Linked DNA regions of Nothobranchius furzeri. The protein of the gene in region 4 purifies or fractionates together with the protein of the main gene of each other region. This does not show direct contact. Links are inferred from orthologs where the notes say so. Each region holds a gene or a part of one and is shown on either strand. Other genes may lie near its edges.

Region 1 (3,963 bases), on a different chromosome or scaffold from region 4:
GGATCTCCCTGGTTCATCTCATTATACAAACAACAGAATGTTATTTTTCCATGCTTTAAGCCCAACTACTGTCTGTAAACTGCAGCAGGTCTGTGTGTTGTTGCTAACCTACACTATGCATGTCTCATTGTAGAATAGGCATTCCAGCATGATACACAGAGGATGTTGCACTGTTAATACTAACACACATTTTTTTCATCATCAGGCTGTTTTATATTGATTATGAACTTTTGAAAGAATATTTTTACTCTCTACATATTTCTTGTTTGTGTATATAACAGTGAAGAGTATGGTCAAATAGAACCCTGCCCTTTCAAGCTGCTACTCTGCAGAAGGTTAAAGTGCCTTTTTGTTTGTACTCACTTGGATGTGGTCAAAAATGTATTTTTTTTATTTATTTCCCACACAGTTAACTAACTAATGCATTATCCATTTCTACTGATGTTAAAAAGTGCATTGCAGTCTTATCATTTCTGCTGTTTAAGTATTTGATAGTAAAATCCAGAAATTTTCCCCTCATGATGTGTTTGTTACGCCACTACCTAAAGCCCAAGTACTGAATAATGAAGCCAAACCTCAATGTTATTCTGATTTCATGACTCAACTTTTCCTTCATCAGTATTTGTTTTGTTCACTCATACTTGTAGATTTATTTTACCATTAAATGAAATACTTTGTCACCTATATCAGATGCATTTGTTCATTTTATGTTGTTTGTAAGTAGTATGTATATGGTGGATTGAAATAAAATGAATTATAGTATGTCAATAGATCAATTAATGTGCAAACAAATGCAAGAGCGGGATTGAAATTATGTGTATTGATTGCTTTGAATTTTTCACTGAGAAAATAATATAAATCACAACAAAAATATACCTTTTCCTCAAAGCGCTGATCAGCAAAGAGAAAAACAACACAAATATCAGCGATATTAGTAACAATTGTTCATCTTTTTATTATGTGTAATTCAGTAAAGATTTCGTGTTTTTTGTTTAATACTTATGTTGATATTTAATGTTTTGATGAACAATAGCTGTACAAACGGGGAAAAAAGACCATAGCGGAAGTGAACTGCTGTCGCGCATGCGTATTAGTACTGCACGACCGATTACGCTGACTTTCGGAGAACGTTACCTTGGATTGGCTACAAACGCGGAAATAAGGCTAACAATCATCTGCTTTTATTTGAGAGAAAAATAGTCTTATTTTTCGCATATTCACGCCACAAATACTCGTTATTTAGTGCAGATAGTGGAGTTAAACTGACATAAGATATAATTGAAGATATAAGCTGTCGCCTGTGTCCTTGTTCCGTTTGTCAGCTGGCCGGAGTTCAGTATGGATGTCGACGCGGACGGCTCAGTGGCGATGTCGGAGGAGTCGGGGAGGAGGCGAAAGGTGCACGGCATGCTGAAGCTTTACTACGGGCTGAATGAAGAAGGAAAGGCCCCAGAGCAACCGGAGTCTCTGAATCCCTGCGACATCAACGGGCCGCATTTTGACCCGGAGCTGTACCTTAACAAGGTGCTGTGAGATATCAGCTGTTGGCTTTAAGTGTTGTCATGTTTTAGACATAGTCTGTGTGGCTGTAGTTAAAGAATTCCATATGATCATTGGGGATTTTATTTTATTTTGTATCCTGAATGTGAGTTATAAATGATCTTTGACTGATCTGTGTCCTATTACAGCTCAGAAAGGAGTGCTCTCTTGCTGAGTTGATGGACCAAGAGACCTGCATGGTGAAGCAGATCCGCTCTTTGGACAGCGACATGCAGACCCTGGTCTATGAAAACTACAATAAATTCATATCTGCTACAGGTAAGTGGAGCATCACACACACACACACATCTGCTTCAGTCATAACCTGGATGTGTGCAATCATGTTTTTATTTTATTTTTGCTAGACACCATAAGAAAGATGAAGAATGATTTCAAAAAGATGGAAGACGAAATGGACTGCCTGTCTACAAACATGGCGGCAATCACTGACTTTAGTGCTCGGATCAGCGGGACGCTCCAAGATCAGCATGCACAGATCACCAAACTCTCAGGTTAGACTGCAAATTGTCTTTTGGATTGTTCTTCAGAGACTTTGTTCATGCTTGTTCCTCTCGTCATGTTCCATGTTAGGGGTCCACATGCTGCTAAGGAAGCTTCAGTTTCTGTTTGAGCTGCCTGCGAGGTTGAACAAGTGTCTGGAGCTGCAGGCGTATGCTCAGGCAGTGAGCTTCCACCGGCGTGCACGCTGCGTGCTGCAGCAGTACAGCCATCTGCCCTCCTTCAAGGGAATTCAGGATGACTGTCACGCCATCATGGAGAAGCTCGCTCAGGAGCTTCGACAGAAATTCAGGTGCCAATTTCCTAACCCATTTGCAAAAAACTGATTTAATTATAAAGAGCTGCCTATGAGATCTCTGGCTTTCTTTTCTCCTGTGCACAAAGGGATGGCGGTACGAGTGCCAAAGATTTGTCTGAGTGTGTGGAGCTGCTCCTTCAATTGGACGAGCCTGCAGAGGAGCTCTGTGATAAATTCCTGAGCCATGCCCGGTCTCGACTCGAGTTAGATCTCCAGAGCCTAGAAGCAGAGATAAAACCCTACCCAGCTTCAAAGAAAGAAGCATCTACACGCAGATCCTCAGGTAACATGTCCTCTGGATCTCCGACTGATAACTCCCCTAAGATGAGCTCTCTGTCGTCTCCCACCTTGAACACAGACATCTTGGAGTTCATAGACAGAGGATGCAATGAATTTGTGAGCAGCTTATGTTTAGTGATTACATCCTATCAAGAACTGTTCATCAACCATGCTCAGACAGGGGAACTAGCTTCAAAGAACATCCTTCAGATGGCAAATGGTAAGCTGCACACCTTTGTGGATGATTTGACCACCCGGTATTTCTCACTCGTTGAGAGGAGGATACAGGAAGAGAAAGGGGTTAGTGATAACTCCCTCCTGGTCCGTGCACTCGACCGCTTCCACCGCAGGCTACAGGCTGTGTCCAAACTGCTGCCAGGCTCGGCGGTGCCCAACAGGGGGACAGAAATTGTCATAAGAGCAGCTACAGAGCGTGTGAAGCAGTACCTGTGTGCCCTGCAGAACTTCTACATGGACAGCCTGACGGATGTGAGACAGGCCTTGGCGACGCCTCGGCTCTCTGTGGCTGGAGGTGCAGCACATCTAGGTGGACCTGTCACGGGTAGAGATGCACCAGCTAGCCTACCAGAGCTGCTCTCTTCTTTGTCAGCTTCTATTCTCAACCAGATTAAGTCGGTGCTGGCGTCGGTTCACCTCTTCACAGCTAAGGACATCACGTTCTCCAATAAGCCGTACTTCAAGGTGAGTGTTCCCCTTTAAACCAGCCGGTTCGATAATTCTGTGCCTTGATTCTGCACTTTTGTGGATGTGGCTGCTATTTTTCTTTCTTTCTCTCCTCCTCCTCCCAGGGGGAATTCTGCAGCCAAGGTGTGCGCGAGAGTCTGGTGGTGAGCTTCATCAAGTTTGTGTGCCAGTCCTCTCGCAACTTTTGTGAAAGCGCGGGAGACAAAGGAGGTTCCACTCCTCCAGCCCTTCTGTTGCTGCTGTCCCGGCTCTGTTTGGACTTTGAAACGTCCACCATCTCCTACATCCTCACACTCACAGACGAACAGTTCCTTGTGCAGGTTTTACACCACCATTAACCAAAGCACTGTGCTTTTTTACTGTCCTGAATGGTTCTGCTCACGTTTCGTTTTTATCCTCCAGCACCACAGTCCCATAACACCGGTCACAGCTTTGTGCGCAGAAGCCAGAGAGGCGGCACAGAAACTACTCAATCATTATGTCAAGGTGGGTTTGTTTCTTTTCCTTTTTATGATTAACAAGTAAAACAGTTTAGAGTCTAGAGCCTTATGAGTGCCTAGTAATAATATGTCTTGTTTGGTCCAGGTTCAGGGTCTGATCATCTCCCAGATGTTAAGGAAGAG
Region 2 (4,156 bases), on a different chromosome or scaffold from region 4:
TTAGGTAAAATCTGTTGTTTTTTAGACATAATCTTAATGTTCATGGTTACAGTAATTATAACAATTAGGATATTGACTTTAAGTTCAACTATGACAATATATAATTTCCCAAAGTAAAACTAAAAAGAAGTACAGGGATCACGCATCTAATACTAGAAATGAGACAGTGTTCTGATGAGATGTGAATGAGAACTTCAAACCTAAGAAGATGGAACTAGAGCACGCAGCATGTCTTTAAGGACTTGTCTTCGCTTTGGTCAGGGTGAAATCTATCCAGAGCAAGTTTCCAACACCAGAGTAGAAAAAATATCCCTTCTTCTCTCTGTCGCATCATCTGACTTTCTGCTGGCCTCCTTCATAGACCCTTCTGTGACTGCCACCAAATCAAACATGGATTCATTAGTAAATAGGTCTTGTTTCAAGTCCTACTCTATGTTTAAACTGTCTGTCCCATACTGGTGGATTAAAGGGGACATTTGTCCTTTGCTGAACAGCTTGCTTCTGATGAAGTGTGATGAACAGATCTTCTCTTCATTGGTGGTCGTCGTTTTTCTGATACGACTGATCCACAGTTCAAAGAGCAGGAAATATGTCATAAAAGGGTGTGTTTTATTCTGTACAGATAGATTAAGGTATTTTTCTCCCTCTGAAACATGTAGACGGCACGTTTTTTACTATCTGCAGTATTTGTAATAGAGTTTTTTTATGCTTAACCTAAAGTATTTCTATAAAAATGTATTTATCTGAGTTAAATAAGCTCTGATACATCACCTGCTGTTGAGAATGATTTTCTACTTTTTGGAGCTCATCCAATAGTTTAAAAAATGCTTTAGTAGGTAAGATCCTGGAAACACACACACACACACACACACACACACACACACACACACACACACACACTGAATCGAACAACATAAACAGAAAATCAAGTGATCTGTATTCTTCAGTTGATTCCAAACTCCATGCATGGTGTTCTTATTGGGGGAAAGCATTTAGGTGACTGTGTCTGACTAGAAAAGCACCTGAAACTAGAAAAACATTCATGTGTTCACCTGACTCTAGTAGGTTTGGGTCATATCTAATTTTCTCTGGTAATACATATCATAATATGTTGGATTAAACAAACTAAGTGTTTTATTGAGATGTGTCATCATACTGCAACGCACATAGTTTATTAGGGAAAGGAGAAATGTGCAGAGGGTTTGTGCAGAAATTGATACTACAATCAAACACAATGAAAGATAAAATATGCTCATTTTCCACAAGTACTTCTCTGCACAATATTTCTTATTTTATTTATTATATGCTCTGTTTGATTGTGCAAATTATTTACATTCATTATATGTTGATTTTATACTCTTGAGTTTTATTGGCGGGAAAAGAAGTAATCCTTCCATTGTACAGGAATACATGATTCCTTAATGTGCATATGAAAAAAAACTTTTAATTAATTTCAAGTTAAATGTTTACACAAATACATGCCACTAAATGCAAGCTGTACTTATGTTAAAAGTCAAATAATAATTTTACTGGTTCTAGATTGATTTCATCAAGCAATCTCTGTATTTTATGGATTTGAATATTAGGCCAGTCTTAGTTTATACAAAGACATTGTGTTCTATGTGGAGTTTTTATTAGGTTGTAATCAATAACCATCAATAATGATGACTGGTTTATATTATGTGCTGGTGAACAAAACTAAAATGAAAAAGGTGTACTACATGTGAATACACATACCAATAAAGTTTCAACGAAGGTATAGAACGTGTGCTTGAGATCAAACTGTATATGTTTAGAAGTGAACAAGTGTTCTTACCTGGTTGTCAAATTTAAGTGACTGTGTCCCCACGAGAAAGCGGATAGCATCAGTCTCAGCTGTTTGGGCAGTAAGTGCACGTGCCTGCAGAAAAACAAAACGTGACAGGAACATATTTAAATAATGAACCGCAGAAGAGAGCATAGCTGAGGAGAGTAATGAATGGAGTAACAAGAGAGGACTCCACAGCCTACCTGGAACTCCAGACCATAAATGACAGGAGCGTCGTCTTCCATTCTTCACTTTGTTTCAGCCTTCAGTTCTATCCTTTAAAATTAAAATAAAAAAATAAATAAAACACCCCGAAACCCTTTAAGTTGCTGTTTTTGTGAAACGTAGTAGTGTTAAAAACAAGAAACAGTAGCATCACTTCCGCGATTTAAAAAAATGCAAGAGAAAAGAACGTACACTCTGGTTGAAATACGTAACAGCGGATTTGAAACGTAAGGATGGGTTTGAAATTTACGTAAAAGGCCGTGAAGAATACCATATAGTCACATCCGGGCAATTGTACACTGTTTCCCTACGCGGCGCATGCGCATTGCTTTTTTGTTCGTCCAGCTGCAGTAAGGTAAGAGATTAGCGATTTTTAATGTTTGTATTTCTTCTTAAAATGTGTTGTTTGTTCTATTTTGACTATACGTGTGACGTGTCCCATTCGTTTTGAATTATTAGTAGTTATTTTTGTAGTGTGACAGCTGCTATTTTACGCCCTGTAACGCCACACAGCTACGTAGCATTAGCATCATAGCCTCCTAGCATCAAATAGCAGTCCTGAGCAACATAGCTTCATCTATGTCGCGTGAAATAGTAAAAATATTCAAACTCACCTTATCGCTGTAGCTGTGATACAATGTTAACGGTGCATGCGTGTAATTACAGGTGTTTGAAAGTAGTGACAGGAAGGGGATGCGTCCAACTTCCTGAAAATATGAAGCGCAATAAACAAAACGCAATTTTAACGATTTCATATCCAGACTTTGCGTATTCTAGTCAGGTAAACTGCCACTGCTCAAGTTATTCAGCAGACAGATACACACAGTTGAACGTTGCTGTCTAAGAAGGGAAAAAATAAGTGTTTTTATGTTATACGAGTTTATTCTAATCACATCCTCCCCTCAGTTAGTTTATTCAGAGTCACTCCTCACAACCACTATCAGAAACTTCAGACAGATTTCGAACATAGTAGACTGAATCAAGCAGTAACCAAAGTACACTTGAACATCATTTGTTGAAAAATAGAACACAATGCTGACCCTCAACCCAGAAATCAGTGTTTTGGAGATTCCAAATAAAACAATTCATCACTGACCTAACACATTTGTTGTTTTCTTTCATAAGCAGTAAGATGGATACAGGGGAGGGTAATGCCCAGCGGCCTATTACTTTGGGCATTACAGTGGAAGACTTCAGCAATGAAGCTTCTGTCCCGGAGACAGATACAACTAACACCATCCAGACCCCTCCCAAAGATGACATCCTGCTCCAACAGGACAGCATTGACCTGGGTGCAGGGGAATTCGTCACTCCACAAGAGGACAGCAGTGCCACACTTTCTGAGAGCCTGATGGATAGACTCAATGACCAGATGATGGAGAGTGTCATGATCTCTGACTCGCCCAATAACAGTGAGGAGGATGATGTGGGTCCTATTGACTCCTTCCTGGATGGTGGGCTGGAGGAGAATGGATCCTCAGGGAACAAAAAGGAAGAAAGTGAAATTGGACAGAATACAACTGAGATTAAAGTGCCAGTGGATCAAAAGGAGCAAGAATGTACCAAAGACGACATAAAAGAAGAGATTGACATAGAAGAGCAAATTCAAATAGTGGTTTCACCTCAGAGTGAAGCACATAGTCCTGTTGTTATCAAGAGTGAGGATCCAGAACATCAGTCACCCAAAGGGACTAGTCCTAAAGATGAGCCTGTGCCAGTGTGCACCATATTTAGCCAGGGCACACAGCCAAAGTCCCTGGCACCTGATGGCTTTCAGCCTACTCTGATCAAGTCCCCTAGTTTTACCACGGGGAGTGGTGGAGGCAGTGATGAAGCAGTGACTCCCAGTAAGATGACTGCCCCGCTGGTGTGCCAGCCCAGCCCAAGTCTTAGTAAGTTCTTTACTGATAACGGACAGGCCAATCCAGCCTCTGACTTCTTTGATTCCTTTACTGCCCCATCTTCCTTCATTTCCATCTCAAACCCTAACGCAGATGTGTCTCCCGCTTCCACCCCTGCACCCTTAAGCTTCACACCCGAGCACCAGCGCTCTTCTACTTCCTCCTCAATTTCCACCCCAGGAGGACTTTTGGACTCCGGAGCTCCTACGCCTGTCTCAGTGTT
Region 3 (4,134 bases), on a different chromosome or scaffold from region 4:
TGTCTCGCTGGATGCTGTTTTTTATTCATTTACATTTTTGTTTTGTTTAACATAAACAAGTGACATCATCAGGTCATGGATGAAGAGGCAAACAGGAGCTTTAAAGGATATCTTTCTTGGCGGTGTCCTCCACCCCCATCAGGTCATCTTTATCGGCTACCTCCTCATACTGCAGCAGGACAAAGAACATCGGGTCACATAAAACACAAAATACTTTCAACTAAACGGAAAATGTGAATACTAAACCACCGACCTGAACTTTGAGAAGTCTGCTGCTGTAGGACTTAAAGTAACTGTAGTAAATCTTGCTCATGGTGTCTACATACTCATCTCTGATCTCCTTAGCAACGGTTCTCTCATTGGCCAAAAGGAACTGATAAAAAAATCTACAACAGAACAAAAACAGGCAATAATGTAATTCTGGTTGAATCTTTTTTTAATTTCACAAATTAGAAATATAAAAACGTGTTCACAGTTCCTTCCAAATTCCAAAGGTTAGGCTGGAATTAGAAACTTTTAATGGATTTAATCCACGTCAAACTGCGTCAGGAACTAAACGGTCCACAAAACGTTCCATTTACCGAAGGCTCACCTGTATTTTAGCAAAGTGTTTTGTGGGATCTGATAGTTGGTCATCGGTTTTCTAAAGGAGTAGATCTTCTGTAGAATAAACTCTCTGATCTTTGACACTGCCTAAGGAAGGAAAAGTGATTCTAGTGTCATTTAAACTCAGAACATGAACTTCTGTGACCCTTCAGTGATTATTATTATTATTATTATTGTTAATTCCAACAGCGGTTTCTGTGATTCACCTTGACTTTGAGGCGATCAACGATGTCCTGGATGTCGGAGCAGGCCAGCGTCTCCCTGAAGCTCAGCTCTTTTGCAAAGTTGATTTTGGAGTTAAGCTCGTGAAGCTGCTCAAGGAACTCCTGCTCCGTCACCGGGCTTTCCAGGATGGTGCTGGAACGATCCAAAAAGCTTCAGCAACAAGACATCAACACGTGACATTTCCTACAGCATTGTTACAAATAATCAGAAGCTGTTAAACGTACGAGATCATGGCTCCAGGCACCACCAGTTCATCCACCAGCTGGCTCAGGTGGCTGCGAACGGCCTGCCTGTTCTTCAGACGGACATTCATGCTGACAGACTGCTGCTGCAGGGTCTGGATCTCGCTGCTGATGGAGGACAGGTCGCTCTGGAAGCCGCTCAGCATCCCCTCCATACGCTGAAAGGGGGGAAAAAAACATTACTTACCCCGATTTAGGTTTTTCTGGACAGTGGAGCCAAACGTTTCTGAGGGTAAAGTATGAAGAAATCCTGCCTCACCTCTAAAATAGAGTCACAGGCTGTAATCTGGTTGTGCAGAGAAGCAATGTTCTGACTCTCCTTAATGTCTACGAGGCGAAGGTTCAGGGAAACCACATAGAATGAGTTCATTTAGGTTTCTGGCTGCAGAAAATAGCATGCAAGTATGACTGACTTCCATCAAATTATTTCTTTAAAACAACTTTTTAACCTCAGAATGTAAACAAACATTTGAGTATGACTTTGAATATGTTGGATAAAATAAAAACTGCATGTGAAGAGGGACCCTGCCACTCAGACACATACATAAAGAAAAAGCAGGAAGCTCTGTGAGGACAGATAAAATATCAAGACATGTAAATTATGAGCTGTGAAGGATACAGTCTTTGATTGATGCCTGTTCAATCTTCCGCAGCTCCACCTCCACTTGCTTGGAATACTGACGGAGGTCAACACCCTAGAAATGAACAGAAGAGGACGCATATTAGTAGTATATCATAGGAAATGTGACAGCAAATCGTTCATGGATTGGTAGTGAAGTACAATTAACTGACATGACAGGACTTACCGTTTTGAGTGCCTCCTTCACAAGATCATCTTCCAGGTTGGCCTGAATATGAACTATAAAAGAATAAAAATGAAAAAATAAAATAAAATAAAAAAGAATATTGCAGAAACCCAAGGCTAGATGGGAAGTAGCAGACATGAAAGTTCTAAAACAGATGTGTATGAGTAAAGCTTGAGTGCAACTGCGCCCTTACTGTCCACTTCATCTAAGATGAACTCATCGGTGGTGATGTCCAGCTCTCCCAGGCTCAGGTTGGTGATGTCTCCATCGGTCTTCTGCAAAAAGAAACAAACAGAATCACACATATAATAAAAATAAATTCAAATACTTGAGAGGGGACTCCAACTTCTATTTATTTTATTACATAAGATTTTTTGTTTTGCACAACAATCTGATTGAAAAAAACTGGAAACGAGAAAATATACAAGATATTCATGAACATAGCTCATAATAAAGTTGCTTTTCCTGTTTCTTATAAATATAACTTTAATTTTTATCAAAATGCGACAGTTTCATACAATTAATGGGTACTGTATTTCCTGGTTAAGACCTTACACATACAAACTTGACAAACTTTAGATTTATAGCAAATTACAGGTGAAGATTGATAAAGAAATTAATAACATTTGAGATAAGGGACATGGTTCATGACGATTCATCAAATGATTAGTTGTCAACAGACTTTAACGAGCTGAATACGTTGTTTCTTCAAATCAGACCCGCACTACTAATAATAATGAAATGTCACCTCGTCTTGTAGGTACGCCATGACATTTTGTGTTGAGTTTCCTCCTGTATTTACATCAGAACCAGCTCCAACAAAACCCAAAACAGCATCCGCCATGGCTGCGAAATTTATGCTAACGTAAGCACAACAAACGAAAGTTCCGCTTACTGAAGCTCGAAATGTTTATTCTGTTTTGAAATAAAAAAACGTGATCTCAAATTTCAGGTCGCTTGATATAAATACGTACAATAACGATATCAAACATTTTTTTAGCATCACGTATTTTAGCAATTTATGTACTTGTTTAGCAAACCCAGTTGCTTATCGGACATTTTTAAATGAAGGATCATTTTCCGGCAAAAACTGATCCAAAATCTCGCGAGAAACAAGCGCCTTCCTCTTTGCACGGAACCTACTTCCAAGATGGTCAGTATGGTATATCTTAAACCAGAGTAGATTTGAAATCCACGTTCATCCTTCGTTGTGCTTGTTTGTTCATTGTTTATAAACACGGTATAATTTATATGCAGCTTGTATGGGTTGGTTCTAGTGATATGGCTGATGTTATGTCTGTTGATTTTGACTTATTTCAACGTAACTTGCCATCAATGCTAGCAGACAGTGGGGACCGGTAGAAGCGGAGTAGCGCAAGTTGATTTTTGTTTAACATAATTATACGTATAATGGAGCAGTTAAAGCTCAAATAAGCTATGTTATTTTCCCCTATGTTCTGTAATCCTTATACGTTTTAGGGATTTTTCAAAGCTACTAGCGCTTAGCTAGCCATACTAATGAGCCTCAAAGGAGCCAAAAGCATGACAGTTGCAGTAGACTAGTTATTTTCCTTGAGCAGCTTTGTTAAACATACTGAGTTCGTTGCCTGTTTGTAAAGATGAGTGTATTAATGGTTTATTTTAGTTATTTTAGTGGAGTACTGGGTCTGTACAGAATGTTAAAACTGTTTTTGATCGTTGTTGTTTTACTTGTGCTGTTTTCAGTCTCTGGTCATCCCTGAGAAGTTCCAGCACATTCTTCGTGTTCTCAACACGAACATTGATGGTAGGAGGAAGATTGCCTTCGCCATCACTGCCATCAAGGTATGTTATGTCTCGTAATACCACTTAAATTTCTTGTTAATAGACTCAATGTTTGTGTTGCCTGATTTTTACCATTGAGACTGGATTCTGTCTGGTTTAAGGGTGTTGGCAGACGTTATGCCCATGTAGTCCTGAGGAAGGCCGACATTGACCTCAACAAAAGGGCTGGAGAGCTGACTGAGGAGGAGGTGAGAACAGAAAACCTGCACCGTTTCTGCAATTCTAAAACCGTGGTGCATTTAAAAAATTGCTTCCAGGAGAGCAAGTTTTTAGATGGTGGAGGGGAAATCGGCTGTGGTGGTGCTGTGAAGGTTTGAGAGATCAGAAGTAGTTTTCGTCACAAACAGCTGGGTAGTTTGCAGTCGTTTAAAGTAAAAGTTGTTACTGCTGCTGTTGTCGGTGCCGTTTAGGTGTCTTGACTAGAGGAGAGT
Region 4 (4,105 bases):
TCATATTTCTATGGAATCTCACATTTTATGGTTCATAAGTAAGATGTAAACTACTCATCCTTTACACTGTCAAAGACAATTCCTGTTGGAAGCAAGCTAGAATTTCGACAAAATGTTTTCAAGTTTTGTAACTGTAGACTAAGATTTGTGTTATGAAAGTTGTGATTTGAAACTTGTACACTGATTTTTTTCTGCAAGTTACAAAATAAAAGTTACATGTTACGTACAAAAGTCACATGTTGCAAAATAAGAATTACATGCTACAAAAGTAAACTTACCCGTTACAAAATGGAAAGTTATATGTTACAAAACAAAAGTTACGTGTTACAAAACAAAAGTCACAGTTACAAAACATGTAACAAGTTAAATGTAATGTTGTCCCAATCCTAGTTTCATATAGGGGATGCTAAAATCATGTAAAAACTGCCTTGTTCCCCTTTAACCATCATAAACTACCTGACAATGGAGCAAATCCCTTTAAGTACCAACAGTTGTAAGATCAACAAACAATGTGGAACAACATCAGAAGATCCCAGAATAAATAGACCATTCAGACCAAGCAAAGCTAAATAAAAGCTATAAGAGAAATCAGATGTTTGCTTCCATCAGCTGAACTGATTTCACACATCCATGTGAACGAATAAAGTTTGTCAGCATGCAAACTGTACTAAGTCACGTTGCACAGAAGTTAAAAGTCAGAGTGGGAAGCTAGCGGTGCACTGAGGTATGAGGTGGTTCCTCACTTCATGGAGCCACTCTGCGGCTTTGCTCTGTCAGAGCTCAACAAACTTCATTTGATCAACTTAAGTATGACTAACAGTTCCTGTAAGAAAGCGTGGCAGTTTTAAACCTGTCAGAACAAGAAAATACAGTGTGGAGATTTTATTTCCCTCCATCTGTGATGCTACATGTTCCTAGGTTATACAAACATGAGCTGTATGATTTCCTACACAACTGTCTGAGAACAATGTGAACATATGACTAATTTACATGTAAAGAAAGCATAACACCAGAAAAACTGACATAAAAACTGTCAATTCATTTTGGTCTTCTTCTTCTTCTTCTTCTTCTTCTTCTGCTTTTTAAAGTTCTCTTTCACTGAAAACAGTTTTTTAATTATTGTGTTGGATTATAATCCATCACTCAGAGTTTTTAATGCAGGCTAAACATAAAACAGTCTCCAACACCTCTCTCCTGCATTAGCTGTACACGGGGAAGGTTGTTGTTGGTTTAGCATCCAGAAAACAGAAGAGAAAGTCTCGGCTAGCAGAAGCAAAAGCTAACCGTTAGCATTAACAACTCCACCACCCAGCAGAACCCCTCCAGGCTTGTGTTATGTATGGAGATAGAGCATCAATGTTGCAGAGCATGCAGAGTCAGTGGTAGAGTCACATTGATGTTAGCAAATCAGAGGAGAGATGGTCAAATATCAGGAAACAAGACTCTAAATCCTGTCGTCTGAAGCCCTCCTCTGAAAATGGCTCACTTCTAGTTCCTCAAACACAAGCACCAGAACTTTATTTCCCAGAATACTACATACAAGGCACTTATTCTTGCTAGAGACCACAGAAAAGCCATTTTTAAAATCTTATTTCTGTTTATAACCAGTCACTCTGAGTTTTTCATGCAGGCTGTACATGAAGATAGTCTCCTACACCTATCTCCAGCGTTAGCTTCTGATAGAAAATAGACGGTGAAACTCAAGAATTAGAAAATGCGAACAGATCTACATCACACTGTCACTTAACATTCACAGACTCATCCACGAGCCATCCACCTGGATATTTACACTCGTTTTAGAAAGCAATAATAGTGACAGGCCTAGCATTGATTGTAAATTTAAGACATTATGACATAAATGATAAATTGATACAACAGCTAAAGACAAGGAAAACAACACACTTGCCAAAACACATTTAGTTGGAACTGATGTATTGTTAGCATTATAATATCCAGACACGATACCATAGATTCCATAAGTTTTGAATTTCTGATGTCAATAAAGCTCCACTCCATCCCCCCACCCAAAACAATAACACTGACAATGAATGCTCTTCAGCCACCAGTCTCAGCTTGTACATGAAGATTACCTTGCTCGGGATCCTCAGGTTCTCCACAGGACTCAGGTCTGCCATACTCTCTTGGGGACTTTTCAGACCCTGACACCAACAAAAACACCGATCAGAATCACGTCACAAACATCAAATAACCCTGTACCGTGATGTCACTCGCTCCCGTTGTCAGACAGCTTATTATTCTTAGCAAACAGCAGCATTTGGCAAAAAGTGGAACTGGCGGACAGATTTTTAAAAGCCGGGGTCCAATAAACCGGTGGGTCTAACCTTACTGCTCGTGCAAGCTGAGAACTTCCCTCACCGGCCAGTTCTCATTGTGCACAGTTATCTGATGCACACCTATTACAAAGCGCCTCCGTGCAAATAAAAAATGTACTTATACGCCAAACAAATGCGTCATAGCTGTGATGTAGCAGATAGAAGATTAAGTTTTCTCCTCATGACTGTGGCCGTTAAGGAGCAATACGATGAGCTGTCAAATTAGCTGTTAGCTTCATTAGCTATCATGCTACCTGCAGCTGTCAGACACAAACGGCCAGCTGGTCGCTTATTAAGAACCTGCCTTGCTCACCTGACGGGCCATAAGAGACTTTATCTTCTGCATCGTAAATCCTACTGGTGTGAAGGGGTAAATAAAAGGCTACAACTTTAATTTTTGCCTTGTTTTCAATAGTGACCCTCTGTCACTGCGAGAAGGAAGCCATAGTTGCCTGTCACGTGACAACAGGAACTAGGGAAAATTGTGAAGCATCATGGGAAGTGTGGTTTTACGTGTATGTTGCTTTTTCTTACCTGTTAAAACTTCTTATGGATAAAATTCAAAATTTACAGACAGAAAAAAATTATTTTATTAAACAAAGTCATGATTGCGGAATTAAACATTATTATACCACCTTAATTTGTGTAATACTGTTAAACACCACAGGATGGTGGTATAATAACAATCCTAAGGAGACCTAGGAGATGCCTGAGATGTCTGCTGACTTTTTGTGTTAAACACAATTATAACCTGAGTCGAATTAAATGAAAAATTGGTAGTTAAATTATTTAAAGTGATCCCTAATTTCTAAGAACTAAATCTGTGTGAGTACAAGCCACCATCGATATGTGAGAACTTTGGTCATTGTCCATCCATCCATCCATCCATCCATTATTTTACGCTTATCTGGGCTCACCTACCAACTCAGACTCACGTACCAAGAGCTCCTGTAGCCGAGGATCAGACCGCCAAGTTTCCCACCTTCAGCTACCATCCATCACACAATGCACCTGACTCTTTGCCCCCTCCCATGAGTGGTGCACCCATGGGAAGGGAGACCCACGTCTTTATTCGTCTTAGGGACAGGCTCCATAGTTGAAAGTCTGGCCACCAGGCGCTCGCCAATGTAACGTGATGAAGAAGCTATTCCTCCAAGGTTATTTAACCTCTATCCACAGTTGCCTTTGACACAGCGCCAGGGTGCATGAGACAGCCTCAAGGTCATGCATTTGCTTCTAAACTGTTTACTTTCCAGCAAAAGAAGACAGAAAATGAAGAGACTCTTTTCTTTTATTAAATCAAAGAACTCTATTTTTAATAAAGCTAATCAAAACAACTATTAGTCAATAATACAATGTGACCGATCTGTGAAATCACAATGTCATGATTAATATGTTTTTAAGAAGTAATATGACTTATTCTAGTTCACTAGACACACTGACACACGTAAGGTAAACAACCGCATGACACATTGTTGTTGCTGATCCAATCAGAACCTTCCTAGTCTGAAGCATGGCATAGTCTCTGTGGTGTTTATAAATCTGCCAGCTTTGATTCGACCAGAATTCAAAACATCCAGATTAATAAAACAGTTCCAACGCCATCTTAAGTTCAGTTCTCAAGATCTCACTGAGTTCAACGCATGCTAAGCGGAGTATTGGACCGGCCATCTGTACTTCACTTTTTAAGCTGAAAACCACCAAGCTGGGAAAAATCTGTTGTTTTTACCAACCAAGCAACGGTTCCTTTCAGAATAAAAGCTGAACTCGCT

Evidence for each region. Proteins that work in one complex are often made in the same cells at the same time.
Region 1: the proteins of vps50 (region 4) and vps51 purify together in Homo sapiens (affinity purification with mass spectrometry; 7 studies listed by BioGRID and IntAct, counting the BioPlex papers as one, with this or other methods). This does not show direct contact. The link is inferred for Nothobranchius furzeri from reciprocal best matches to the Homo sapiens genes VPS50 and VPS51.
Region 2: the proteins of vps50 (region 4) and eipr1 purify together in Homo sapiens (affinity purification with mass spectrometry; 4 studies listed by BioGRID and IntAct, counting the BioPlex papers as one, with this or other methods). This does not show direct contact. The link is inferred for Nothobranchius furzeri from reciprocal best matches to the Homo sapiens genes VPS50 and EIPR1.
Region 3: the proteins of vps50 (region 4) and vps52 purify together in Homo sapiens (affinity purification with mass spectrometry; 4 studies listed by BioGRID and IntAct, counting the BioPlex papers as one, with this or other methods). This does not show direct contact. The link is inferred for Nothobranchius furzeri from reciprocal best matches to the Homo sapiens genes VPS50 and VPS52.

What each region holds. Positions count from the first base shown.
Region 1 is NC_091750.1:53,409,563-53,413,525, forward strand, and holds the start of vps51 (vacuolar protein sorting-associated protein 51 homolog), read left to right. Parts: upstream 1-1,163; 5' UTR 1,164-1,338; coding exon 1,339-1,524; intron 1,525-1,688; coding exon 1,689-1,818; intron 1,819-1,904; coding exon 1,905-2,051; intron 2,052-2,130; coding exon 2,131-2,350; intron 2,351-2,442; coding exon 2,443-3,337; intron 3,338-3,444; coding exon 3,445-3,660; intron 3,661-3,742; coding exon 3,743-3,826; intron 3,827-3,925; coding exon 3,926-3,963. UniProt on the Homo sapiens protein: Acts as a component of the GARP complex that is involved in retrograde transport from early and late endosomes to the trans-Golgi network (TGN).
Region 2 is NC_091758.1:44,403,903-44,408,058, forward strand, and holds the start of eipr1 (EARP-interacting protein homolog), read right to left. Parts: upstream 2,801-4,156; 5' UTR 2,647-2,800; intron 2,388-2,646; exon of another isoform or gene 2,326-2,387; intron 2,223-2,325; exon of another isoform or gene 2,084-2,222; 5' UTR 2,053-2,083; coding exon 2,011-2,052; intron 1,901-2,010; coding exon 1,817-1,900; intron 1-1,816. Other genes in the region: trappc12 (trafficking protein particle complex subunit 12), read left to right, coding at 3,165-4,156. UniProt on the Homo sapiens protein: Acts as a component of endosomal retrieval machinery that is involved in protein transport from early endosomes to either recycling endosomes or the trans-Golgi network.
Region 3 is NC_091759.1:11,202,326-11,206,459, reverse strand, and holds the start of vps52 (vacuolar protein sorting-associated protein 52 homolog), read right to left. Parts: upstream 2,801-4,134; 5' UTR 2,724-2,800; coding exon 2,628-2,723; intron 2,155-2,627; coding exon 2,073-2,154; intron 1,933-2,072; coding exon 1,880-1,932; intron 1,769-1,879; coding exon 1,693-1,768; intron 1,401-1,692; coding exon 1,333-1,400; intron 1,232-1,332; coding exon 1,056-1,231; intron 964-1,055; coding exon 813-963; intron 694-812; coding exon 593-693; intron 387-592; coding exon 254-386; intron 170-253; coding exon 114-169; intron 1-113. Other genes in the region: rps18 (small ribosomal subunit protein uS13), read left to right, coding at 3,030-3,032, 3,605-3,703, 3,805-3,891. UniProt on the Homo sapiens protein: Acts as a component of the GARP complex that is involved in retrograde transport from early and late endosomes to the trans-Golgi network (TGN).
Region 4 is NC_091751.1:27,569,747-27,573,851, forward strand, and holds the start of vps50 (syndetin), read right to left. Parts: upstream 2,802-4,105; 5' UTR 2,680-2,801; coding exon 2,647-2,679; intron 2,160-2,646; coding exon 2,091-2,159; intron 1-2,090.